Sus scrofa: one gene and its partners. The protein of the gene in region 1 binds, or shares a complex with, the protein of each later gene. Links are inferred from orthologs where the notes say so. Each region holds a gene or a part of one and is shown in the gene's direction. Other genes may lie near its edges.

Region 1 (3,750 bases):
TTTATCCTGTCGCCATAAAGACGATTCTTTTTTTTTTTTTTTTCCGGTCTTTTCTAGGGCCACACCCGCAGCATATGGAAGTTCCCAGTCTAATTGGAGCTGTAGCCACTGGCCTACGCCAGAGCCACAGCAACATAGGATCTGAGCCACGTCTGCGACCTATGCCACAGCTCCTTAACCCACTGAGCAAGGCCAGGGATCAAACCCGCAACCTCATGGTTCCTGGTTGGATTCGTCAACCACTGTGCCATGAAGGGAACTCCAATTAAGCGCCTCTTTAACGCCAGGTACTGTGAGACAGTAAAAAGGATTCATGCCTTTTTTTTTTTTTTTTTTTTTTTTTTACTTTTTAGGGCTGAACCTGCAGCATATGAAAATTCCCATGCTAGGGGTCAGATCGAAGCTGCAGCTGCTGGCCTGTGCCACAGCCACACCAGATCTGAGCTGCCACAGCTCATGGCAACGCTGGATCCTTAACCCACTGAGCGAGGCCTGGATCGAACCCGCATCCTCAGGGATCCTAGTCAGGTTCGTAACCTGCTGAGGCGTAATGGGAACTCCAAGACTCATTTCTTTGGGGTTGGAAGTGTGGATAAGGGGCAAGAAAGACTTTAAAACAAATGACGGAGGTTTGGACGTGTTATGGAAGCTCCAGAGCAGGAAAGGAAGGCGGCAGGAGATGGCTCAGCGGAGATGACATTTGAGCTAGGAGATGACATTTGAGCTAGCCGGGAAGGTGGAAAAAGGGTCTTTAGTGTGGCCCTTCCCCCAGGTCGGCAGTTGGAGCTCAGCCCGGAGGGCCCGCTCCATTCCGGCTCCGATTCCCTTTCAGGCCATTCATCCAAGCCTGGGCCGGGAGTGGGCGGGCAGACAATCAGACACTGTTTTATCCCAGGCATCGGCTGCAACCTCCCGCCCGGCGCCCACAGCGCGCGGCCGCCCGGGGAATGAGTCCTCGGGAACGTCTGCGCCTGGGCCTCTCCCGCCTGAGCTGGAGTCGGGCCGGAGGCGGGGAGGTCTGCGCAGCGGTCAGCGAGACGCAGAAAGCACATCCTCCGCTCCGGACCAGCGGTCCCCACAGTCCCACCCCGGCTCCGGCCCCCAGCGTTCCCGGTACTGCGACGGACCACCCTCCTCCCAGAGGCCCTATCCTGTTGAGCCCGCAAAGACCGTGATCTGCGCACTACAACTCCCAGAAGGCTTCGCGGCCAGGCCGCCTAGGGACCATTGACGAATCGCAGAGGGTGGTCCGCCTAACCAGCCTCGAGCGGACGTGGCGTATGGCGCTGCCGGAAGTTCCGGGAAGCGGGCCGGGAGGCCGGCCCGAGCTTCCGGGTGGGTCGCGCGCCTTCCTGCGGCTAAGATGGCGGCCGAGCATCCCGAGCCTCCGAAAGGAGAGTTGCAGCTGCCGCCGCCGCCGCCTCCTGGGCATTATGGTGCCTGGGCTGCTCAGGAGCTTCAGGCCAAATTAGCGGAGATCGGCGCTCCAATCCAGGGTGAGGAGCACGGGTGGTCAAGGGCCGGAAAGTGTAGGCCCGCGGGGAAGCGGAGCTGGTTACCCCGGAGACCCGGGGGCGGAAGAGTTGGGGGGGGCGGGGGCTTGACTTGGGCCTGCTCCGCCTGCCTTACCCCGTTGATCCTGTGCTTTGCCCAGCAGGGAGTCGCGAGGAGCTGGTGGAAAGGCTGCAGACCTACACCCGCCAGGTAAGTGTTGGTGGGATGTCAGGATAGGCCGAGCTTTTGGAGGAGGCGGTTCGTGATCCCTCACGCTTCGTTCTTCGTTCTTGATGTATCTCGGTACAGCGAGTGAGGTCTTGCTCTTTTTGTCTCTTCTTGTCTTCTTTGTTGTAATCGTTTCTGTACATGCTGGTCCCCCCCCAGAACCCCGTCTGAGCTCTGGCAGACAGACCCTGGGTAAATTTTGTCGAACGGACACGAGCGAACATTGTTTAGCGGAACAGCTAGCTCCTTTTGGACTGACCTGGAGCCCTTTCTCTTTCGCAGACTGGCATCGTCCTGAGTCGGCCTGTTCTGAGAGGTGAAGATGGGGACAAAGCTGCTCCCCCTCCTATGTCAGCCCAGGTAGGGCGGTCTTCCCACTTGTTAGGATCCCTTTTTGCCCAGAGTAGCCCCTCCTCTCATATGGAGTGTGTGTTTGGAGGTTGCAACCAGCAGTTTGGGTGGTACTGTGATGACAGAATTGGGAACTCTTCAGTTCTCCCTTGGTCCTCATCTTTGCTTCCTTTGCTGTGACAGCTCCTCCAAATCCTACAGGTCCTTCAAAGTTCAACTTAAATATCTGTAAGCCTAATTTGATCGTCCCATCCTCCTCCAGGTAGAAGTAATTAACCTCTTTTTTTGCTGTCCCAGCACACTGTTCCCATGTTATTCAGTGACAAATTAGGGCTTCCTCCCTGATTTGATTCCTTTCTTTCTTTTCTTTTCTTGTCTTTTCTTTCTTTATTTCCTTCCTTCCTTTTTTTTTTTAGGGCCACACCCGTGGCATATGGAAGGTCCCAGGCTAGGGGTGGAATTGGAGGTGTAGCTGCCTGCCTACACCACAGCCGCAGCAACTCTGGATCTGAGCTAAATCTATGACCTGCAGCAATGCCAGCTCCTTAACCCACTGAGAAAGGCCAGGGATTGAACCCGAGTCCTCATGGATATTGATCGGTTTTTTAACTGGTAAACCACAATGTGAACTCCCGAATTCTCCTTTCTTGATGTGGCTATGGAGTGTTTTTTGTTTTTTTTTTTTTTCCTTTTTTTTTTTTTTCTGTCTCTGTCTTTTTAGGGCCACACCTGCAGCATATGAAGGTTCCCAGGCTAGGGGTCAAATTGGAGCTGCAGCTGTCAACTACACCACAGCCACAGCAATGCCAGATCCGAGCCACATCTTTGACCTACACCACAGCGCCTGGCAACACCAAATTCTTAACCCACTGAGTGAGGCCAGGGATCGAACCTGTGTCCTCATGGATGCTAGTCGGGTTTGTTAATCTCTGAGCCACGATGGGAACTCCAAGAGTAGTCTTTTTCTTGAATGCAAGAACTGTGTGTCGTTTGACTTTGAATCCCAGCACCTGGCTCATTGTAGTTCCCCAGCAAGTATTTGTAGTAGATCAGTGCCTCCAGTTAATGGTCATTTTTTTTTCCCCCACAGCTCTCTGGGATTCCCATGCCACCCCCGCCCATGGGACTCCCCCCTCTACAGCCTCCTCCACCACCCCCACCACCTCCACCTGGCCTTGGCCTTGGCTTTCCCATGGCAGTTGGACCCCGCCCTCCAAACTTGGGCCCCCCTCCTCCTCTCCGAGTGGGTGAACCTGTGGCACTGTCCGAGGAAGAGCGGTTAAAGCTGGCGCAGCAGCAGGCGGCATTGCTGATGCAGCAAGAGGAACGTGCCAAGCAGGTAGCAGCCTGAGCCTGGGGCTCATCAGGGTCCTGAATGGGAAGTGGAGCCTCAGAGGGAGCCGGATCCTGGGGCCTAAGGCTTCTGGGAAGGTCTGGACCAAAGACTAGAACTTGGGCCCTGGCTGGGAGCAGAGTTGGGGCCGACTGGCCTGTGGGATTTTGGTGCTGAAATGAGCTTGTTTTCTCTTTTAAGCAGGGGGATCATTCACTGAAGGAACATGAGCTTTTGGAGCAGCAGAAGCGGGTAATGCCTCCCTCATCCTAACTTTTGACCCCATGGTCCAGTCCATTGCCTGTCACTTTTATTGTTTAGTGTCTGAAATAAGAAGTACCATT
Region 2 (3,650 bases), on another chromosome or scaffold:
ACAGCTCACAGCAATGCTGGATTCTTAACCCACTGAGCGAGGCCAGGGATCAAACCTGTGTCCTCATGGATACTAGTCAGATTCATTTCCACTGAGCCATGGTGGAAACTCCAGTAGTATGTGTTTTTAATGTGGTGCAAAATGTGAAGAGGATATTTTCCTGAGTTGAAATTTAGACTTCATCTCTCTCCATCTCAAAAAAGAGTCCGATTTTAAAAAGCTAGTGTATAGTGTTTTGAACATGCTTTGTAAGTTCATTTTCTTTATTTTTTAAAAATTTTATGGCCACACCCACAGCATACAGTAGTTCCCAGGCCAGGGATTAAATCTGAGCTTAGCTCCCACCTACAGAGCAGCTGCAGTAACATAGATCCTTTTAACCCATTGCACCAGGCTAGGGAATTGAACCTGTGCCTCTGCAGTGAACCAAGCCACTGCAGTCAGATTTTTAACCCACTGTGCCATAGTAGGAATTCCCAAGTTCATTTTCATTTATAGCAAAACTTACCAATAGACTTTTATTCCCTCTTTAACTGGCATTGTTTTATGAAATCCAAAATTTGACCATAGTTAGTTGAGTTTGATTTAATTTTTTTAAAAAAGTGTTCAAAACTGTCATTGCATGCTACAAACTACTGGAAAGATATTTTCTGAGAAAATTAGTATTCATCTGTTTGCTAACAAAGTTGCTGATAGAATCAGTTGGGAAATGGATTTAGAGTTATGGTCATGAAGAAAGATACTATAAAAAGGAATTGTATTACTGTTCTTCATATAGTGATTATGAAAATACCTCTGATTAAAAATTAGTAAATTATTTTTTAACATTTTGAGGTTAATTTTGGCATTTCTTATAGATAACATTTCTTATATAGAGAGTTTAGGAAGAATATTTCTTCTGGAGATAAATCAAATAGTTGTATTCAGTGCAGTAAGTTAAGATTTTGGGGAAAAGCATCAGGAAATGTTAATGGATGCATAATGGAAGTGAAAGAAAAATTGTATCCGATATTTGGAGAAATTTTATGTATATTATAAGATTTTGCTTATTATCACTGCAAAAAGTAGATTTATAATTTTTAAAGTTACTCTCAGTAGTAGATTAATATATGTAAAATCATTTTGTCCATTCTGTCTGTCTTAAATCTATTTAAGGCTCATGAAGTTTTATGCTTAGAAATGCTCACTTTGCTCCTGGAAAGACCAACAGATGACAGTGTTGAAGTAGCTATTGGTTTTCTCAAGGAATGTGGTCTCAAGTTAACACAAGTGTCACCACGAGGAATCAATGGTAAGTATATATTCTTGGTTTGCTATTGAGCTTTCGTTTGAGTGTCACAATGTTTATTGCTTATTGTACAATCTTTCTGTTTAACTTTAGCGATATTTGAACGCCTTCGAAACATTCTTCATGAGTCTGAAATTGACAAGAGAGTTCAGTATATGATTGAAGTGATGTTTGCTGTACGGAAGGATGGATTCAAGGACCACCCTGTTATCCTAGAAGGACTTGACTTAGTGGAAGAAGATGATCAGTTCACTCACATGCTCCCTCTGGAAGATGACTATAATCCAGAAGACGTTCTTAGTAAGTTAGGAGTGGGTGTTGGGAAGTTTAGTACAAACGAATATAAATATTGAAAATAAACACTAATTAACTTCTTTCTTTTTTAAGATGTTTTCAAGATGGACCCTAATTTTATGGAAAATGAAGAGAAGTACAAAGCTATTAAGAAGGGTATGTAGAAATTTACAAAATAATTTATTTTGGATAAGTAGAAGCAATTTATGTAATTATATAGTACTGATAGAAAGTTATAGATCACAGACCCCTACCTCTTGAAATTTTTGTTCTTGAGAAGCTGTTCTTGTCAGTGTTTACCCATGTGTTAGTCTAGTGCTCATCTATGGTATTCATTCTAAATTAACTCATTTTTCCTCTCCTCTTTGTCTCTGTTTAAATTATACAACTCTTTTAAGTTTTGTCCTTCTTAAGAAATATTCATGTTTTACCAGTAATCTTTAACTTCACTGCCATTTAAAAATTACTGCTTAAATTGCCACCCAATTTAATATGCAGTTAAGTGCTATATGTTTTCATAAAGTTCTCTATTTAAATTATTTCTTATGACAGGTTGGTATCTTTCTAAAATCAATCACAGTGCTAGATACAGAATCGGTGCTCAGTAGATAATTAATTATTATCATTTGTACGTCATTAGTATATTGTAAGCACTAGCTTTGTACAGACATTGGTTTGTATTTTGTTTTTGCCATTACTAGCTAAGCGACCTAGAACAAGTTACTTGTTTGATGTAAGGGTAAATGTTACATGTTTGTGTAAGAATAAATAAAATACAGTGCTTTGTATTGCCACAGAGCATGTATTTAGACACTGATACTATTTTTTTCATATGTGTCATTATTTTTCTTCCAGAGCTAATATTCAGAGGTACTTATATCATTGCTTTTATTCTATTATGTAATTATTTATATTACTTCATGTATTTATATAATAATTTTATAGATTTATTTCCCTTGAGTTGTAATTTTACCTGGCAAATACTTATGGCTCTGAAAGCTTCTAGGAAGAGAGAGCAGAGACCTAGAAATCTGTCGTTGCTGCGTTCCATGCTTTAGTCATGCTTAGAACTGGAATGTTGAAAAGGAAAGTAACGGTGTAAGGAACTCCCCATTTCTATATGTTATCCCCAAAACCTGGTACAATATCTGGTACATCTCTCCTTAGATGCTGTTTTCCTAGGGCATTTCATTGCAACAGCCAGATTCATTTTTCTCTTAAAAATCTGGTTTCCAAACATGGAGAAACCCTTACACCCACTTTTTTCTTTTATTAACTTCTTTTTCTATAGTATCTCTAAAAAATGCTAAATGATTTTATGGAATTCTTGTTATAGCTGGCGTAATTTTTTTTTTTTTAACTTGGGAATTCCCCACCCATTTTTAGCCTCTTTGGCCGATACCAGGAAAGCAGTACTTTTCTTTACAATAGCACTTCTTAAACTCTCTGGTCTCAAGATATCTTTATGCTCTTGAAAATTACTGAGGATTCCGAAGAGTTTTTATTTATATGGATTTATATCTGTTGACACTTATTAAAAATTAAAACTGGAAATATAAAAAATTAAATCATTTCAAAATAATAATAACATATTCGCATATTACATATTTTTATGACAAAAACTACTTTAAAAAACAAATTTAAAAAGAAGAATGGCATGTTTTATATTTTGTACAGTTTAATGTCTGGCTTAATAGGAAACAGTTGGATTCTCATATCGTTCCTGATTTCAATCTGTTGCAATTAGTTGTTTTTATTAAAATATATGAAGGAAATTTAGCCTCACACAGAAATGTAGTTAGAAAGGGAGGAGTATTTTAATAGCCTTTTCAGAGCTATAATTGAGTGTATCCCTCCTTAATACTATGCCAGTTAATATTTAATAGCTATTAGTTTCTTAAAAATTTAATTGCATTATGAAACCTGAAATAATGTCCTTGAATTTTCATACTTGTTAACATGAAAATCCATTGGCCTGTCACTTTGAATGGATCTTTTACCAATGCATGATTTTGTAACATGTCGTATTGGTCATTTGGAAAATCTTGATTCACTGAGTTATTCACAT
Region 3 (3,750 bases), on another chromosome or scaffold:
CTCCATATGCCTTGGGTGAGGCCCTAAAAAAGAGACCAAAAAAAAAAGTTATGGCCATCATTGCAGAAAGTCACAACACCAAAAAGCTGGTGACTAAGAAACCCACTGCCTCTACTATGGTATTTGCCAGCAAAGGAGGATGCCTCTCACCCTCCTCCTTTCCCTTCCAATTCAATTCTCATCTTAGGTGCAAAGGAGTCTAGAAAATATCTACCTCTCAGTTCCACCAACACTCTATAGTCTTCATTGCTAACAACTCTCACCTCAGCGGTCTATTTGCATTTATCTCCCCTCCAATCTATTCAAACTACTGAGCCAGAAGGACCAAGCTGCCTCCTCCATCACACCACCTTCTCCACTGCAAAATACAAAATAAAACCTCAGTGATTTCCCATCAGTCTTAAAGAAAAGCTACAAATTCCTACACAGTCTGGCTTCCACTTGCCTCCAGCTTCATCTTGTACCACACTCCCCTTTATTCTCTTTGTCCTGGCAACACTGGCCTCTTTGTACCTTTTAGTCATTTTCCTCTCATTTGCCATTGGGCCTCTGCACATGCTGTTCTATATGGAATATTCTGCCCTCCTCTCTTCCCCCAACTAATTAGAATTCTTCCTTCAGGCATAGGTTCAGGCATCTTTTTGTTAGACAAGTCTTCCGGCTTATTTCTGGCACTCAAAACACCAGGTACCTTTCCCTGGCAGCACTTACTTTGCATTCCCTATAAAGATCATTGTTGAGCATCTGTTTTTCCCATCGGACTCAAAGCCCTGAGGTCAGGGACCATGTTTGGTTCACAATGTCTCCTCAAAGCTTTGCACCATAAATATCAGTTGAACGATTAAGGAGAAAACCTACTTCACAAGTATGAGTCTGAATTTCTCAGCCAAGACTGTGCTCTGGAGACCAAGAGTCGGACATTTCCTTCATCTCTCTCTCTCTCTCCCTCTCTCTCTCTCAGGGGCACAGAGCAGGCGCTGGTAAAAGGCTGCAGTATCACGGCAGAAAGAAGTCGGCCTCCAAAGTCTGAGACGACCCTGGTGGAGGCTGGGAAACTGACCTTTTCTCCCAAGGAGCACCTGGCACAGGGCTCGACACAGAAGGCGCTTGTTAAAGAAAGCAGCCGTCGAGGGCCCCAGGCAGGCGCAGAGACCCCACTGCTCTGCTCCAACCTAGAAAGGGAACCCAGGCCACCATACACCAAGAGCTAGGAACTCAGGGGCCCCCTCTGCCCTCTGCGATCAACCCTGGGCTGAGAGAGGCCAGCTTCAGACCACACAACGGAGGCGCCGCCTCCAGATTCCGCAGCCACCCACCCCCAACACTTACTCGGAGTTAGCGTCAGGTCTCCCCGCCGCAGCATTGCGCGAAACGCCAGAACCCAGTCAGCGCGCTTCCACCCACAAGACCCAGCGCGCCGAGGCGGGACTCCAGCTCGTTCCACCAATCCTGGAATCGTACTCTAGTGACATCAGAATGAGTTGCCCAATAACTGGAGACTCCCCAGGGGGCGGTGCAGAGGGGAGTATTGGAAGCCGATTGGTTTCTCCAAGCCGGAAGTTCTAAGGGAAAGACTAAGTCGGAGCCAATCGTGCGCTCCCTGAGGGTGTCGGCGCGGTCAGTGGCGGCCTGAGGAGAGCGGTTGCCGCCATGATAGAACAGCAGAAGCGCAAGGGCCCAGAGTTGCCTCTGGTCCCAGTCAAGCGGCAGCGGCATGAATTGCTTTTGGGAGCGGCGGGGTCGGGCCCGGGAGCCGGGCAGCAGCAGGCGGCGCCGGGAGCTTTGCTGCAAGCGGTGAGTAAACGAGCAGATGGCCTTCGGCCCTCAGCTCATCTTCCTGTCTCCTCAGTGCTCCACCGTGAGATCCCGTACCGGCCCTTTCCCTGCACTGCGGGGGCGGAACGGGACTCACACCAGGGAGTTAGAGCAGAAAAACCTGTTAAAGCGGTCAACACCCTGCGATGCTACGTTTCCCCGTTTGACGTTTCAGCGTCTCGATGGCCCTGTGAGGGGGCGTTAGAATTAGTGAGGGATCTTAAAACTGGGCCCCGGGCTTTCGCATCCTAAATCTTCCAGGGATCCAGCATAGAATAAACGTTCAGGAAAGTTGAAAGAGTGGATGGATGAATGAAGGAAGAAAGAAAGGAAGGAAATGAACGATACTAGCTCGCTTTGGGACTTGGGGCAACTTGCTTTGGGGAAAACTCTTTCTCTGCACTAGTATTAACAACTGAAGAATAGGTAACACTTATTGAGCCATGTACTAAGTGTTTTGTATATGAAAACTCCATTAATCTTGGTCACTGCCTAAGAGGTAGGAATTGTTAATTGTCCCATTTTGTAGATGGGGAAACAAACTTCTCTAATAAGTGATAGAAACCGATTTTAAAATCAGAATCCAGGCTTTTAACTAGAGTTCTTATAAGATAGAGGTAGTGATGGATGACATCTCTCCTTCTGCTCTATTAGGCTTAGCTGAAGAATATATGTCCCCTCCTGAAACTCCTCAATCAGGCTGTCAGCAAATCTTTGCTGGCACCATCCTTAAAATAAACCCAGATTTGTTACCACTTCTAAATATCTCCATCACTACCTCCTGATCTAAGCTGTTATTCTCTCACCTAGTATTCCTGCTGTAGGATCCTGATGGCATTCCTGTTTCTTTTCTCAGATGCTCATTCTATTCTCAGTCCAGCAGCCGGAGGAATCCTTCTAAACATCAAATCATGTTAACCTCTGCTGAAAACATGCCATGGCTTTTCGCTTCACTCAGAGTAAAACTAAAATCCTAACAACCTTTTGCCCTCTTTCCCTTGACCTCTCTGATCTACCAATTTTCCATTGCTCACCTTACTCCAGTCACATTGGCTTCTATGCTCCTACCACACACAAAGCCTTTGCATTTTCTTTTCCCACTACTGGAGTGTTCTTTTTCCAAATGTCCACCTGGTTTACACACTCAGCTCCTCCAAGTCTCTGCTCAAATATCGCTTTTTCCATGAAGGTTTTCCTGACCAACCTGTTTTAAATTGCATACCTGGGTACTCACTAACACATTGCTGTTTGGTTTTCTCCATGGTACGTACCACCACCATCTATACCTTATACTTGTTTCTGCCATCCCTCCCTCCTTTCTGTCCCTCCCTCCTGCTAGAATACAACCTACATTGTTTATTTTGTTCAACACTGTTTTCTCAATGTCTAGAACAGTGCCTGACACATAGTATTTTTTGAGTAAATGAATAAGCTGGAAACTACTGATGAGATTTAGGAATTATTAATAGTGTATTTGTTCTTTTGGTTTTTTTTCTTTAGGACAGCACCCATGGCATATGGAAGTTCCCAGGCTAGGGGTCAAACCAGAGCTACAGCTGTTGGCCTACGCCACAGCCACAGCAACTCAGGATCTGAGCTGTGTCTGCGACCTACACCACAGCTCACGGCAACGCCGGATCCTTAACCCACTGAGCTAGGCCACAGATTGAACCCATATCCTCATGGTTCCTAGTCAGGCTTGTTAACCACTGAGCCATGAAGAGAATGCCAGTGTATTTGTTCTTCCATCTGACAAGTAAGAATATCAGCTCAAGTTTCTGTGAATTGCCCAAGCCTAGGCTTAGTGGCTAAAACCGTAAACAAGACTACTTTCCTTAGTAACCTTGTACCCTGCAAGGTTGTTGGGAAGCTCAATTCAATCATTCATTCATTAAATGAACTAGAAACTGGGAAGACTGTTGAATGACTCTATAG

Evidence for each region.
Region 2: SF3B2 (region 1) and CWC22 share a complex: the UniProt entries of both Homo sapiens proteins name them as parts of the minor spliceosome. The link is inferred for Sus scrofa from reciprocal best matches to the Homo sapiens genes SF3B2 and CWC22.
Region 3: SF3B2 (region 1) and SNRNP40 share a complex: the UniProt entries of both Homo sapiens proteins name them as parts of the minor spliceosome. The link is inferred for Sus scrofa from reciprocal best matches to the Homo sapiens genes SF3B2 and SNRNP40.

What each region holds. Positions count from the first base shown.
Region 1 is NC_010444.4:6,291,209-6,294,958, reverse strand, and holds the start of SF3B2 (splicing factor 3B subunit 2), read left to right. Parts: upstream 1-1,308; 5' UTR 1,309-1,363; coding exon 1,364-1,496; intron 1,497-1,654; coding exon 1,655-1,704; intron 1,705-2,004; coding exon 2,005-2,082; intron 2,083-3,163; coding exon 3,164-3,412; intron 3,413-3,607; coding exon 3,608-3,658; intron 3,659-3,750. UniProt on the Homo sapiens protein: Component of the 17S U2 SnRNP complex of the spliceosome, a large ribonucleoprotein complex that removes introns from transcribed pre-mRNAs.
Region 2 is NC_010457.5:85,564,230-85,567,879, reverse strand, and holds part of CWC22 (pre-mRNA-splicing factor CWC22 homolog), read left to right. Parts: intron 1-1,155; coding exon 1,156-1,291; intron 1,292-1,381; coding exon 1,382-1,588; intron 1,589-1,675; coding exon 1,676-1,738; intron 1,739-3,650. UniProt on the Homo sapiens protein: Required for pre-mRNA splicing as component of the spliceosome. As a component of the minor spliceosome, involved in the splicing of U12-type introns in pre-mRNAs. Promotes exon-junction complex (EJC) assembly.
Region 3 is NC_010448.4:87,877,441-87,881,190, reverse strand, and holds the start of SNRNP40 (U5 small nuclear ribonucleoprotein 40 kDa protein), read left to right. Parts: upstream 1-1,567; 5' UTR 1,568-1,650; coding exon 1,651-1,794; intron 1,795-3,750. UniProt on the Homo sapiens protein: Required for pre-mRNA splicing as component of the activated spliceosome. Component of the U5 small nuclear ribonucleoprotein (snRNP) complex and the U4/U6-U5 tri-snRNP complex, building blocks of the spliceosome.